Linked DNA regions of Macaca fascicularis. The protein of the gene in region 2 binds, or shares a complex with, the protein of the main gene of each other region. Links are inferred from orthologs where the notes say so. Each region holds a gene or a part of one and is shown on either strand. Other genes may lie near its edges.

Region 1 (4,061 bases), on a different chromosome or scaffold from region 2:
AAACAAATAAGGTCAATGTTCCAAAGTGAAGTTAAGGTTTCATTTACGTAGGCAGAAGCAGAGAAGGTTCAGCAGGAGTACATTTTCAATACAAGACCAAAGCATAAAACACAGCGACTAGATTAGTTATAGATATCTCCATTCCAAGGAGGATAACTATATTAATCTATGAAGAGGGATAGTGATCTGAGGGGGTCTTACCTCTGTCTCTGTTTGGTCTTCCTGATTATTTACAGGAAAAAACAAGGCAGACATTGCAGCTGTACGCCATAGGACTCAGGCCCCGTAGCCACATTCTTCGCAAGGCTCTGAATAATTTCAAGTTCCAACAGCTTTAAGTTGGAATTTTTTAATTTCAGTTGATTCACTTGTTCTTTTCCTGTCTCCCACAACAGAAAATAAGTTCCCAGGGATGCAACCTTGGCAGGCTTCTAAACTGCCACGGCTCCAGTTTCTTGTAGGTTAGACACTCATTATTAGTTGAAGGAAAGATCTAGGCAGGCCTCGGTGCGCCGCCTCCTCTTTAAAGCGAGGGCTTACTAGATGAATGTGAGCAGACGGAAGCAGAACCACCCTGTTAATGAAGGCTGCGCATTCTAGCTCAGGGATTTCTAGAAACCTCGGGGGCGGAAGTTTAACCAGAGAATTAGGAAGCAAGGAGCAGAGAAGCAATGAGGATAACCTGTGCAGTGTAGTCGTTCCACGAGTTTGAGAACGCCTAGCACGATGCCTTCACGGAGCGTCGGGCAGAGTTATTTGAGAGTATTTCTTTTTCGGGGTTTTTGAGACAGGGACCTGATTTGAAGCAACGGGGAAGAAAACCAAGAGGACGAAGAGCCAAGGATGGGCGTGCCCGGGAGCTCTCAGGTGGGCACCTGGAAGGGGTGGGAGCAAGCAGGGCCTAACGTACCCCTGGCCTTGGCGGCCCTGGACGCCCCTGGTGCCCCCCACAGCTGCCTCCCACCACACATGACTGAGGCTCGGGAAGCAATAAAGTGGCTTTCAAAATACTAAATGCAATTGACATCTTTTCCTGAGTGGAAAAAAAACAAAAAAGGATCTGAATGCTGAAATATACAGAGAAGAAACTCCCGTTGCCACGTCCCCCGAGGTCCCCACTCAGTCCCGTCTGCTGCTCCGCCCTTAGTCGGGCCCTAGTTCTGCGAGGCGGAGAGCAGGAGGCGCTGGGTGGGCCCGCTGACGCTCCGGATCTGAACTGAGCAGGCGCGGCGCGAGATCGCGGGAGCGAGCGCGCGGGAGCAGTTCGCGGCAGTTCGCGCGGGAGCCGGGCGCTGGGGCGCTTGGGCGCCTGGGCTGCCGGACGGTGGGAACGGAAGTCGCTGTGGGGCGCTGAGAAAGCCAGGATGGCGACTCCAAGCAAGAAGACGTCAACTCCAAGCCCCCAGGCTTCCAAGAGAGCTCTCCCGAGAGACCCTTCGTCGGAGGTCCCGAGCAAGAGGAAGAATCCGGCCCCGCAGCTGCCGCTGGTGCAGTCGTCCGGGCCTTTCGTGGAGGGCTCTATCGTCCGTATCTCGATGGAGAACTTCCTGTGAGTGGCCGGGAGGCCGCGCCGCGGGTGTGGAGGCGTGCGGTCCAGCAGGCCCCGGGGCGCCGGCTGCGCGCGGGCGTGGGCGTGTGGGTGTGTACCTGGCTTGTGGGTCTGGCCTTGAATTCGTGCCGGGGTTCCCATGAGGATTTTTCTACGAAGGCTGTGGAGATTGACGTGTATGATGTAGATGTGTGCCTTACGTGATGTGGTTTTTAAATTTAGTCCGCCAAGGTTTTCCAAAAGCGTCTTGTAGCAGGTAGTAGTTGTACGAGGGAGTAGGTCTCTGCCCGCTGGGAGTCGCGATCCATAGCGGCCCTGGTCTGTAATTCACAGAAGTATTGTCCCCGGGAATTTACGAGGAGGCAACAGTTAATTCGGCGTGGTGGGGATGCTGTGGCAGATTCTTAGGGTAGGCATTTGCCACAGAGGAGTAGATAAGACGGTAAAGGTTGTTTGGGATGGGAGGTTACAAGTACAAAAAAATTAAACCTTCCTGGCAATTGTTGGATCTTGACCCTTGACCCCTCTAAACCCAGCTTTCTTCCCTGGTTCCTCCCTCTCTCCTTCAGACAACTAGTTATCACTTTAGAATTTAGTAAGTTTTAAATATATCATGTATTTGTCTAGCACCTCACAGTGAATCTGTTCCAAGTCGTCTTTTTTTTTTTTTTTGAGACGGAGTTTCGCTCTTGTCGCCCACGGTGGATGGAGTGCTGTGGCGCTACCTCGGCCCGCTGCAACTTCTGCCTCTCGGTTTCAGGCTCCTGGGTCAGCCTCCCGAGTAGCTGGGACTGTAGGTGCGCGCCACCACGCCCGGCTAATTTTTGTTTTTGAGACGGAATCTCATACTGTCGTCCGGGCTGGAGGATAGTGGCGCAATCTCGGCCCACTGCAACCTCCGCCTCCCAGTTTCAAGCGATTCTCCTGCCTCACCGAGTAGCTGGGATTACAGGCACCCCCCACCACGCCCAGCAATTTTTTTGTTGTTGTTGTTGTATTTTTAGTAGACACGGGGTTTCACCATGCTGACCAGGCTGATCTGGAACTTTTGACTTCAGGGGATCTGCACGCCCCCATGGTGCTGGGATTATAGGCGTGAGCCACCGTGTCCGCCCTGAAGTCTTTTTTAAACTTGCACATAGTGGCATAAGGATAACAGAATTGTATTTTAACAATACTACCTTTTTTGTTTTCAGGCACCTGTTGTGTGCCAGGTACACAGTGCACTCATTCTTTCTTCATAACAACTCTATCTTGATAATTTCCATTGCTGAAAGAAGCTCAGTAGGTTGTTTTGCCCAGTTTTACACAGCTGTTAAGTAGTTGCATTGCTATTTGAATCCAGATCAGGAAAGATAAATGTAATCAAATGAGTTAGATACCATAACAACATATATATCAGGATCCTTCACAAAGGATGAAGTGGTTAGTTTTGTCCACGAGTATGAGAAAGGGCTTTGTAGAGAAGATATGAAAGTCTTTGTTCTTGCTCTGTTGCCCACGCTGGAGCTCAGTGGCATGATCAGGGCTCAGTGAAGCCTGTACCTCCCCTTCTCAAGTGATCCTCCTACCTCAGCCTTTCAGGTAGCTGGGACTATAGGCGCATACCATACCTGGCTAATGTTTTAAAAATTTTTTGTAGAGATGGGGTGTCACCATGTTGCCCAGGCAAGTCTCGAACTTCTGGGCTCAAGCAACTCACCTCGGCCTCCCAAAGTGCTGGGATTACAGGCGTGAGCCACTGCACCCGCCTGAGAAGATAGGAAAGTCTTAAAAGAAGTGAAGAGCATTGAAGACAGAAGGAACGGTCTGAAATAGTTTGGTATATTTAGAAAGTGTCAAGTGTTTTAGTAAGGCAAGAGTATAGGATGTGAGTGAGTATTTGGACAGGGTAAGCAACCATTGAGAGACCTGTATGTTTACTATGCTAAGAAGTTCCAGCAGCATCCTGTAGGCAGCCACGGTGTGTTTTCAACAGGGAATGACATGTGTTTTATGTTATTCTGGAAGCACTGCGGAGGATGATTTAGAAAGGGTGCAAGATTGGAAGCAAAAAGACAATACGAAGGCAAGAGATGATCAGAGTGTGAAGGAATGAGATTTGGCAGGATCCAGCTACAGAATAATTGAGGCATGGGGGAAAGGGAGGAATGCAGCATTTTTCCCAGGTGTTTGCCTTAGCTAATTGGTCAGATGCTATTCAGAAGAGAGAGCAGTTTGAGGAGAATAATAAATGCCTCTTAGATCCTGTGATTTGAAGTTTCCTTTGGAGTATCTAAGAGAGATGTTCTATAGGCAGAATATAAGAGTCTGGAGCTTAGAGGAAAGTATGAACGGATGAGAGATTTGGGAGTCATGCATACAGGTGATTGATGAAGTTGCAGAACTGGTTATGATTGCTCAATAGGAATTATAAATTGAAGGACTAGAAGACCATGTACAGGGTCTTGGGAGAATGCCTGCTTTTAAGGGTGAAAGGAGGAAGGACTCAAAGCCAGAAGGAACTATTCAG
Region 2 (3,500 bases):
AGCATCACATGGTGGGTTACTCTGGGCACACTCCTGCTCCACAAGGAGCAGTATCAAAAAATAAATTAATCAAATTTTAAAAAAGTAACATGGTAGATCCTGGGTGCTTAGAGAGTACTGCTCAAGTGCTGTGAGAACACCTGGGCAGAAATATCTACCCAGACATGGGAGTGACGTGGTTGGGAAATCTGATCCTACACTGCTAACATCTCTGTCTGGAGAAGTTGCTGGAGGCTTCCAAGATGGGGCCTGCTGGATAAACAAACTTTACCGAATGGGAAAGATGAAAAGGAATTGGAGGCCAAGAGAACAGCAAGTACAAAGACACAGTTTTAAGTACTTCATTGTGGCTGGAAATTGGGCTGGATGATGAGATAAAGTTTAAGGCTTTATCTTTATAACCTAGGATTTATGAGTTTAGTACGATAGCAAAAAACAAAGATTTAGACTTTATCGTTAAGATAAAGAAGTTTCGTCGGTATCCTATTAAATAGAACATACACAAATGGCTCTGGGCACCTGAGTTACCTGAAGTCTTACTAAAAATAGATGCCAGATCCCACACCACACTACTACTTTGGCATCTCCAAGGCCTTCTACCCGAGCCATTACCAATCTCAAAGGTTTTTAAAAAGACAAATTAGAAAAGACAAATGCCCAGGAGCTATACCACTTAAAGGAGGACTGAACAACTCAGATGGCTACCCCTAGAGAAAGTATCTACTGGGCAACAAAACCAATATACTTGAAGGTCCTCTTAGAGAAGAGCCAGTAAGAGCTGTTCCATAGGACCATGCCAGGAAGTTAAGACAGAAGCCAACTTCATTCGAATATGAAGAAATCTTTTTTTAAAATCAGAGTTCTATCTAAAAAATGAACAGGGCAGCCGGGCGCGGTGGCTCACGCCTGTAATCCCAGCACTTTGGGAGGCCGAGGCGGGCGGATCACAAGGTCAGGAGATCGAGACCACGGTGAAACCCCGTCTCTACTAAAAATACAAAAAATTAGCCGGGCGCGGTTGTGGGCGCCTGTAGTCCCAGCTACTCGGGAGGCTGAGGCAGGAGAATGGCGTGAACCCGGGAGGCGGAGCTTGCAGTGAGCCGAGATCGGGCCACTGCACTCCAGCCTGGGCGACAGAGCGAGACTCCGTCTCAAAAAAAAAAAAAAAAAAAAGGCCGGGCGCGGTGGCTCAAGCCTGTAATCCCAGCACTTTGGGAGGCCGAGGTGGGCGGATCACAAGGTCAGGAGATCGAAACCACAGTGAAACCCCGTCTCTACTAAAAATACAAAAAATTAGCCGGGCGCGGTGGCGGGCGCCTGTAGTCCCAGCTACTCAGGAGGCTGAGGCAGGAGAATGGCGTGAACCCAGGAGGCGGAGCTTGCAGTGAGCCGAGATCACGCCACTGCACTCTAGCCTGGGCAACAGCGTGAGACTCCGTCTCAAAAAAAAAAAAAAAAAAAAAAAAAAAAAAAAAATGAACAGGGCAGTTTATGTGGCAGTGACAAGTAATCTTCAAATACAAGTCAGTGGTCATCCAACAGGGTATTATAATACATGTCATTTTAGACATTAGGAGACTTGTAAGATACCCTCAGTAGGAGGTATCATCCTCCTATATGGTAAGGATTTTAAAGATGATAAACCCAGAGCCTCATGAGCTAGAAGCAAAGGAGCCAGGAGAGAACACTGGTAAAGAGGTTCTGGCCTTTTCTGCTAAAGCAGAATGAGAGATCCTTTAAGGTTCCACCCACATCTAGAGTTTATGGACTTTTCTTTTTTTTGAGACAGGGTCTCACTCTGTCACCCAGGCCAGAGTGCAGTGGCACCATCTCAGCTCACTGCAATCTCTGCCTCCCAGGCTCAAGTGATCCTCCCACCTCAGCCTCCCAAGTAGCCAGGACCACAGGCATGGGCCACCACAGCGGGCTAATTTTTTGTATTTTTGGTAGAGATGGGTTCTCGCCATGTTGCCCAGGCTGATCTTGAATTCCTGAGCTCAGATGATCTACCTGTATCCACCTCCCAAAGTGCCGGGATTAAAGGCGTGAGCCACCATGCCCGGAGTAGTGTTTATGAACTTTTATATCAAAGTTTCAAGTCTCCAAACAACGGCATCATGACTGTCACCTCTACAATACCAAATAATCTTTGTCCCTACAACAAAAAACAATTTAAGGTTCACAAATAGCTGGTCTGTTGGATTTTTAAAATAATCTTACAGAAAGTGGAATGTATGGGTTTTATTAAAGGTGTTTTCTGCTGTTTTGCCTGATATTTTCCAGGAGTCATAGACGATGAATTCAAAATCAGGACTATCTTCATCACGGATAAGTTCTTCAGCTTCTAGCGGATTTACACCCATATGTGTGAGCTACAAAAATGAAGGAAAACAAAAAACCCAGTTAAGCCACATGCAATCATTGTCCACATCCAATAATCTGCATCACTCAACCTTTAAGAGGCCAGACGCAAAGCCTGCTTTCACTGTCTTAATATGCTGGCTAAATTTCTCATTGTAAAGATAATTTTACAGTTAAAGTCCTCTTTTCAAAGCTACCTTCTTTTTGGCAGAAAATATTCCTCAATGTACTTAAAACCTTTGGGTGAGAAAGTGAAATGATTTAGACTAGTGGTTCTCAACCTGGGTATACTTGCCCACAGGGGTCTTTTGGCAATACCTGGAGATATTTTTGGGTGTCACAACTGATATGCTACTGGCATCTACTGGGTAGAGGCCACGGAAGCTGCTGAATATCATACAATGCACAGTACCGGCCCCCAAAACAAAGACATGCCCAGCTCCAAATGTCAATCAATAGTGTCAGTGCTGAGAAACCCTACTCTAGCCCACTGGCAGGCAGAGTGATTTAGGTACGCCGGAACTCAGCCCCCTGGGAATTTCTGTATCGCCAATAGTTCATGTATTAGTAAAGCTGCACTAGCATACAAATATAAAATTAAATCCCAAATCAAAAGCTTCACGACAGCACCAGCAAGTTCGGCTGGTGTTCAGATTTTAATTTTTTGCAAACGTCCTACAAATCTCTATTCAGCTTGTATCGCAGTATATCCAGAGAGCAGTGGCCCGGCATTACTGAGAGAATGGCTCATCTTAAAATTCCCTTCCTGGGAAGAGTAGACGGAAGTCAAATAATTCTTTCATCTCAAACTGTCTTACAGAAAATGTGTTATATTGAATTTACTCTTATGAAAGTCCATTTTTATTACATTACACTGTAAAATGCCTAGAAGTTATGCAGTTATAATGGCAATATCATATATAAACAATAATCACAAGACCCTCGGGGAGCTTAACCCTATTAAAGGCAACCAGACTTTAAAGAACGACTACAAGAGCCTGCTCTTCTCTGTTCCCTTGCCGCCTGTCCTACCACGGCACCCTTGTAGGTGGATGTGGCAGTTTTGGTCTGTTTAACTGACAGAGAGATCCACCAATCTTCCCTTACAGTGTCTATATTTGATGTTATACATAAGAAAG
Region 3 (3,367 bases), on a different chromosome or scaffold from region 2:
TAGAGTCAGACTAGCGGAATATACCTTTTGAACCAGTAATTGCTCTCCTAGGAATCATTTGGAAAACAAGATAAAGAAAAGTTGTATTTAAAAAGTGGCAGCTCCAGACCGAGAATAAAAAATAAAAACATTAAAGAATAACAAGCAAATTCCTCCACATCAGGGACTAAACCCATTTTACAGGTCAAGAAACATCTGCATACAAACTAAGGAACCTACGTAAATTCCTATACTAGTGACGGTGGGGCCAGGATCTGAACCCAGGCAGTCTGATTCCCAAGCAGGCATGGTTAATGGTTACGCTATTGTTTTATAAGCCTTTTTGGTATCCACAGTAGAAATATATTTTACCTCATGATCCTGTACACACACACACAAAAGTAAAACAACTTCTACAAAACAACATTGACCTCAATATGTTGCAAAAACTTTAAGACGCTGATTTCGTCATGAAATTGTCTCATGGCCCACGATTTAAAAAACACACAATGCTTCAGTGCTTCAAAAATACAGTATTTATTGTAATAACTAGAGTAGCATGTAAAAAAAACTAAGTGGAACTGCATGTTTAGCAACACAGCTGAGTAATTATGAATATAAACAATTGCTATTTGGAGAAAATACACCACGTTCATTGCTTGGAACCATGAATAATACTTACATATGTAGGAAATATAGAAAAAATAAAATAGGTTAAGGTAATAAGGATATAGGCAATTACGTTTTTATTTTTAATTTTATAAAGACTTTTATTTTTCCTTACAAACTGGGATGCTTAAGAGACCCGATAATAGCTACTTTTTTATTTTCTTGGCACCAAAGCAACTTACTTATGTGTTCCTTCTGGCATATCTGTTTCAGATCATAGTCAAGTTTTCCAATTCGTTTTACTAAGCTAGGAAAATTTTTTATACCAAAAAAAGTAAAATCAAAGCAAAACAAATGCTCCTTTGTTTATAGATGAAAATCTGGAACCAAATAACACAACATTAAAAGAACAAAACTTTGCAAACACATCCTAAAGCTACACACATTGAAACGCTACAGAAATACGCTTCCTGGGTTCGTTCTCCCTTCCCCCGCTCCTCTGCACTGTGCCTTTGGGTCTCAGACCCTTGTCCCGGGGGTCCCTCTGAATCCACCTCAGATTTCAAGAGGATGGGGCTGAGCCACTGGGCTGAGGTCTGGCCCTGTTCTCCTCATCTGCCAACGCCTCACAGTACTGCGCTGGCCAGTCCTTGGGGTCTTGATTATGGACTTTGGCCACAAACTTAAGAACTTTCATCTTGCTGGTTTCCAGGTTGGTTCGCGGGCCCCACTGGAACTCGTAGTCCACGGGGTCGGTGTGGGGTATCCGCCGGTATTCCAGGTAACGTTGTCGCACAAAGTCCTCGGTAATGAGTTTCTTTGGATCTCCGAAAATGAAATGCTTCTTGGTGGGGTAGACCCCTAAGCGCCGCAGAAAGTCCCAGACTTCAGTCTCCTTGACGGTGTTGCCCTTCATAAAGATGAGCCCCAGGACGATCATCAGGAGGCCCGTAGTGGGCGTGCCTTGGTCACCCCTCACCTCGGCATCCTCCTCCACCGGCTCCAGGGTGTTGATGAGGATGTAAGTGTTGCTCTTGGGTTCAAGTTCCACCAGCTTATAACCGAAGACGTACTGGAGGCGCTCGGCGGCCCGTTTGAGGAGGTCGGGGAAGATGTCCTTGTAGTCCCCGATGACGTGCTTCAGTATGTCGGCCCGCTTGATCGGAATCTTCTTCTGGTCCTTAATCAGTAAGAACTGCACCAGCTCGGACACTTTCAGCTCCTGCTGCTTCTGGGTCCTGGGGCCCACGGCGGGGGAGGCCTGGGACCGGCGGGCGCCCTGCGACCCCTGCGAGCCGCCCGGCCCCCGGGAAGTGCTCGGGGCCTCCTCTGCGAAGCCGTCTCTGCGGGCCCGGGCGTGTTCGCCCGCCCGCGAGGCCCCGGAGTTTCCGCCACGGCTCCAGTCGCTGTCCCTCTCGGCCTGGCCGCCAGAGCGACCCCGGTTCCTCGGTTTTTGCAACATGTCACCGGCGACGCGTACCGGTGCACACTCCGGCAAGCAAGCAGCCGCGGCTGGGATCGCGGGTCGGCGACCCGCTAAGGCCGCTGCCTGGGCGGGGCCCCAGAAGGGGCGCGCAGTGTCGGCTGAGACTGCGTGCCGCGTCATGAAGCCTGCGCCTTGCGTCACGGCGGCTGGGCGGTGCGCCTGCGCGGCTGCGGGGCTGGGGGTACCAAAAGCATCCGAGATTTCTGTGCAGCCCTGCAGGTCTGGTCGGTGAATTTCAGTATAGCGAAGTGTTGTTCTTACTAAACCATGCAAGCAGAGAACGAGAACCGAAACTCCTAAACAAGTGTGTCGCTAAATTCAGGACCAGACAGGCTCAGGCAAGTTTTACAGACGGTATTATGAGTTTCTAATTCTAAATCGGGAGCATTTGTAAATGAAAAGATCTCACAGGATGAATGTGTGAGAAAGAAAAAAAAAAAGGTGAAGAGGAAGGTACGACCGTGGAAGTAAAAGCATTTATTTCTACACAACATGTAGAAGGATATAAAAAACCCAGAGGGCTCTTAGTTTTCGTCCCTCCGCTCAATTTTATACCCTCCAACCCACTGCCCCCAGTTACTTTCTCTAATGCCCCGTGGAGTTTGTTAAAAACAAAAGTCTGCTGCAGGCTTTCCGCGCAAGCAGGACTTCGGTTTCACTATTTCCGTATGTGTATTCTCTGCATTAAACTCCTTTAGCTAGACAACTATGAGAAAACCCCACAAAATTTGTCAATATTAAGTAAATGTTTTAGCTTGGTCAAATGAGTTTATCCTTTGGAAAACAACTGCCTTCAGCTCACAGCCACAATTTTAGCAGAAATGCGTAAGAGGAATGCTGCAAACGTGCACTCTCAAGAGATTACCACTTAATTTTGGGCATCACTGATCAAGAATTGCAATAATGTGGATCTCTTAAATTTCTTAATTCATAATATATTAGCTTTGAGAAAGAAAAGAGAACACAGGGGTATTTATCCCTCATCTATGATGTGTGCAGTCTATGTATATTTTAATTGTGCAACTCAAGTAGCCAAAATGAGTCATTTCATTAACTCAAACCATCAGCAATCTGCTGCCATTACTTCTACAGATCTTAGCAAATTTGTTTCTTCTCTATTTATTGACTTGCAAAGAAGAAACTGAATTTCCCTGTGTCTTTTTAAAGCTACCCAGAAAGTGGATAAACTCTTCAAAGAACCAAATCGAGTTCCTCTTTAATGCAAATATATTCAAAGGAAAGCAATTTAGAACACATTATCTGAATAATAGCATCAAACACAACCTTATTAAA
Region 4 (4,127 bases), on a different chromosome or scaffold from region 2:
AATGCAATCCAGTATAAATGGAAAGTATATACCAAACAGTAGTTGTCACTACTTGGTTGAATGCAAAACTCACATTACTTGAGTGAAACTTCACTCTTGCAGAGGACCAAGGAAAACATGACCATGCTTTTCTGTAATTCTGGAGTAGGGAAAAGATTAAGACAGACTGAATTGAAAAGCAAAGACAATGGATGGTGCAGAAAGATGGAATAGACATACTTTTCTCAATTCCTCCCAATAAATACAGCTAAGTACAAGTCAAAGACAACTCCTTTCTCTGACTCTAACAGCATCCTCTTTGATATAATTATAGCCTTTGGCAGTAACTCTACTTTGTTAGTAACTATCTTGCAAGATGTTCGCAGTGCTTCATAAACAGCAAGTGCTCTGAAACTATCAATAAATGAATAAACTGCTTCGGTCAGATGCACAGCTCTCGTGTTTCCTTCTCCCCTTCATACTCAATATTCTTGAACTCACCTCCAGACTTTGTTCAGGCTGGGCGCGGTGGCTCATGCCTATAATCCCAGCACTTTGAAAGGGCAAGGCAGGAAGACTGCTTGAGGCCAGGAGCTCAAGACTAGCCTGGGCAACACAGCGAGACCCCATCTCAAAAAAAAAAAACCAAACAACACAGACATGGTGGCTTGCACCTATTGTCCTAGCCCCTTGGGAGGCCGAGGTGGGAGGACCCCTTGGGTCCAGGAGTCCAAGGCTGCAGTAAGCTATGATCATGCTACTGCACTCTAGCCTGGGCAATAAGAGTGAGACGCTGTCTCCAAAAAGGAAAAAAGGACTTTGTTCATCCTGCTCCCACCATGAGAAAACCATCTCTTCAGTTTTCTTTCTTTTTATTTATTTATTTTTTGAGACAGAGTTTCGCTCTGTCGTCCAAGCTGGAGTGCAGTGGCATGATCTCGGCTCACCTCAACCTCTGCTTCCTGGGTTCAAGGGATTCTCCTGCCTCAGCCTCCTGAGTAGCTGGGATTACAGGTGTGCGCCAGAACACACTGGTTATTTTATTTATTTATTTATTTATTTATTTATTTATTTATTGTATTTTTAGTAGAGACAGGGTTTCGCTATGTTGACCAGGTTAGTCTCAAAACACCCCACCTCAAGTGATCCGCCCTCCTTGGCCTCCCAAAGTGCTGGGATTACAGGTGTGAGCCACCGTACCAGGCTCTTTCTTCAGTTTTCTATCTGCCCACATCTTACCCATATGCTAAAGTCTGAATGTTTGTGTCACCCAAAATTTATATGTTGAAATCCTAACTCCTAAGGTGATGGTATGAGGAGGTGGGGCCTTTTGGGAGGCGATTAGGCCCACTTTCATGAATAAAATTAGTGCCCTTTTAGAAGATGCTCCAGAGAGCTGCTTTGCCATTCCACCGTGTGAGGACACAGCAAGAAGCCACCTATGAACCAGGAAACAGGCCCTTGCGAGACACTAAATCTGCTGGCACCCTGACCTTGGACTTTCCAGCCTCCAGAACTGTGAGAAATAAATTTCCGTTGTTCGTAAACTACCTAGTTTATGGCATTTTGTTATAGAAGCCCACACTGACTAAGACACCATCTCTCATGGCTTGGTTTAAGTGGTTCTCAACCAAGAAAGATTTTACCCCTCTCCCAAGGGACATGTAGCAATATCTGTAGACATTATGGTTGGCATCTAGTGGGCAGAGGCCAGGGATACTCTCAAACGTCCTACAATACACAGGACAGCCCTCACCCCCACCCCACAGGAAAAAATTATCTGGCCTAAAATGTCAATAGCGCATCAGTTGAGAATAACTGATTTAAATCAATCTCTCTTGGATCCCTTCCCATGTAATAACACTGATCTTTTCTTCCCAATACCTATGATCTCCAAGAAAGTTTAGAACAAGTTGTGCATTTCCTGAGTTTTTTCTCTGCATGTTATTTATAGACAATATGCTGACTTCCTTTAAATCCACGGGAACCTTGTACAAGTCAGCCAGAGCTGCCTCTCCTTTTTCAGCATGCAAGGCTATACCCTTCTCTCTGAATCCTTCTCATACAATTGCTTGTTCCCTCCCCCATGCTACCATTATTCCTATCACATGCACATGTACACAACACACTCCCATTATGAAACTCATCACAACTATTTGCTCACATGTCTGCAGCTTCTTTACACTGAAAGCTCCTTAAACTAGAACCCTGACATATTCTATTGCATATAAAGCAGTTCTTCACACAAAATAGGGGACCAATAAAGATTTGGCGAGTTACAAAAATAACAACAGACATCATCATTTCTCGGTCACCTACAGAATGCCATAAACTGGTGTCCTGGCACTTCATTCTCCTTATCGCTAATTCTCACTGCAATCTACATAAGTGAAGAGGAAACTGAGGTCCAGAGAGTTTATTCAAACGACCTTCCCGTGGCCTTACTTTTAAAGTCAGTTCAAACCACATCTATTTGGATCAAAAATTCGTGATCTTGCCCTTACACACTTGTGGCTAACGGATGGAGAGATGGCGCCTCGGACAGGAGGGTAAACTGTCCCAGACTCACTACTGTGGCGTGAAAAGGGCCACAACCATAATCCAGGTCGACGAATTCCCGGCTCGGGGTCCCCGTGGAGTGTCCCTGAGGGAGGCGACAATTCCCGCCACCTTCCCCATTGCCGTCCCCCGCTTCTTCCCTACCTGGTTGTCCGAGTTGTCTCCGTCTGGTGGCACCCCAACTTTCCCTACTTGTACCCACCTCCTTTCCTCAGCCCCCTTCGCCTGTAGCTGAAAAGTGAGCGCGGGCTCTTGCGTCATCATCCGTCGCCGGCGAGTGGTCACATGATGCCCCTCCCTGCTCACCGCCGCTTCGGTCATGTGACCGTCCTGGAAGTCAGGGGCGGAAGCCCGGCTCTGACCCGTTCCAGGTCCGGGACTGGGGATAGAAGAGGACCGCCGCCGTGAGGGAGGGGTGGAACCTGGGTGCCGACTCCGCGCGCAACCTCCTGCCCTGCGCGTGCGCCGCTGGCGCGGCCCGGCTGACAGGTGAGTGGGGATGGGATGAGCGCGCCCCATTTTTGCATGGCCCCTTTCACCTCCCCGCTGGGCCGTGCTGGCCCTGGGGAGGTCTCCAGCGTCGCGTGCAGCCTGGACGGGGGACTCGGGATGGAGGGCTTAGGGGCTTTCTGGGGCGGGGGCTGCAGTCCAGCTCTTCGTCTCCGCTTAGGGGGAACTCATTTTGCACACTCCTTCCTCGCTTTAGGAAGCACCGTTCAGCTGGCTGCTTGGTCCGAATCTCATCCTTCCAAGTTTCCGGGAACACTGCAGTGTGGATGTCGTCGTTATTTCTCTCTTTGCTTTTGAGAAAACTGAAAGGCTAGTAGTGAGGACTTTTACAGCCTGACGGACCTGGATTTGCATTCTAGTTATGCCATGGGCTGTGAGTTTGGGCAAGTCATTGCTGCTCGCTGCGTCTTAATGCCTTCACCTGTGCTAATGCCAAAATCCTTTGCATTTGGCGGGGGGGGGGGGGGGGGGGAAATGTTCCCAAGGCCCTGATTCCTCTATGATCGGACAGGAAAAAGAAAAAAAGTCACAGAGTCGTAGAACTGGGTCTCCTGATTGCAAGCGCATGGAGCTCCCTCAAACATAGGTGAAGGGTAGTGAGGGAGAAGTTTTCCTGTCTTTGCGCACAACAAGGGACACCTTCTCTAATTGTCCTTCACCTGCCTTTCCCAGGATTTCAGGTTAAGCCTCATGTCAGAACTTTTCTGGAAAACATATGCAGCTTGCATTTATTTTGACCGACAACCATTATATTTTGTTTGTGATAATGGATTTGTGGAGATCAGTGCTTCCTTTATGGAACTGAGGTTTTGCGAAAGGCTAAATATAGACCTACCTTCTTTTGTCCTCTGAAGGGGGTAAACAGTGTTTGTCCACGACAATTCGATTTCCTTAAGAAATATTATTCTGCACGCTGGGTAATTGGTATAATGATGCCATGCCTCATTCTTGAAAGCATGTCTTTTGATTAGGATTACTTCCCAAACTGAAAATCACAGTTCCACGCCAAATTCTTAAAAATGAAGTTACTGGCGCTTGTAAAAGAAAATAAGAGAATATAGTGGGATCTCTGGATTTCA

What was found.
Region 1: NSMCE4A (region 2) and SMC5 share a complex: the UniProt entries of both Homo sapiens proteins name them as parts of the SMC5-SMC6 complex. The link is inferred for Macaca fascicularis from reciprocal best matches to the Homo sapiens genes NSMCE4A and SMC5.
Region 3: NSMCE4A (region 2) and NSMCE3 share a complex: the UniProt entries of both Homo sapiens proteins name them as parts of the SMC5-SMC6 complex. The link is inferred for Macaca fascicularis from reciprocal best matches to the Homo sapiens genes NSMCE4A and NSMCE3.
Region 4: NSMCE4A (region 2) and NSMCE2 share a complex: the UniProt entries of both Homo sapiens proteins name them as parts of the SMC5-SMC6 complex. The link is inferred for Macaca fascicularis from reciprocal best matches to the Homo sapiens genes NSMCE4A and NSMCE2.

What each region holds. Positions count from the first base shown.
Region 1 is NC_088389.1:100,953,177-100,957,237, forward strand, and holds the start of SMC5 (structural maintenance of chromosomes protein 5), read left to right. Parts: upstream 1-1,261; 5' UTR 1,262-1,364; coding exon 1,365-1,549; intron 1,550-4,061. UniProt on the Homo sapiens protein: Core component of the SMC5-SMC6 complex, a complex involved in repair of DNA double-strand breaks by homologous recombination.
Region 2 is NC_088383.1:130,961,820-130,965,319, forward strand, and holds part of NSMCE4A (non-structural maintenance of chromosomes element 4 homolog A), read right to left. Parts: intron 2,373-3,500; coding exon 2,221-2,372; intron 1-2,220. UniProt on the Homo sapiens protein: Component of the SMC5-SMC6 complex, a complex involved in DNA double-strand breaks by homologous recombination. The complex may promote sister chromatid homologous recombination by recruiting the SMC1-SMC3 cohesin complex to double-strand breaks.
Region 3 is NC_088381.1:8,207,343-8,210,709, reverse strand, and holds NSMCE3 (non-structural maintenance of chromosomes element 3 homolog), read right to left. Parts: upstream 2,165-3,367; 5' UTR 2,051-2,164; coding exon 1,151-2,050; 3' UTR 501-1,150; downstream 1-500. UniProt on the Homo sapiens protein: Component of the SMC5-SMC6 complex, a complex involved in repair of DNA double-strand breaks by homologous recombination. The complex may promote sister chromatid homologous recombination by recruiting the SMC1-SMC3 cohesin complex to double-strand breaks.
Region 4 is NC_088382.1:134,752,777-134,756,903, reverse strand, and holds the start of NSMCE2 (E3 SUMO-protein ligase NSE2), read right to left. Parts: upstream 2,801-4,127; 5' UTR 2,683-2,800; intron 1-2,682. UniProt on the Homo sapiens protein: E3 SUMO-protein ligase component of the SMC5-SMC6 complex, a complex involved in DNA double-strand break repair by homologous recombination. Is not be required for the stability of the complex.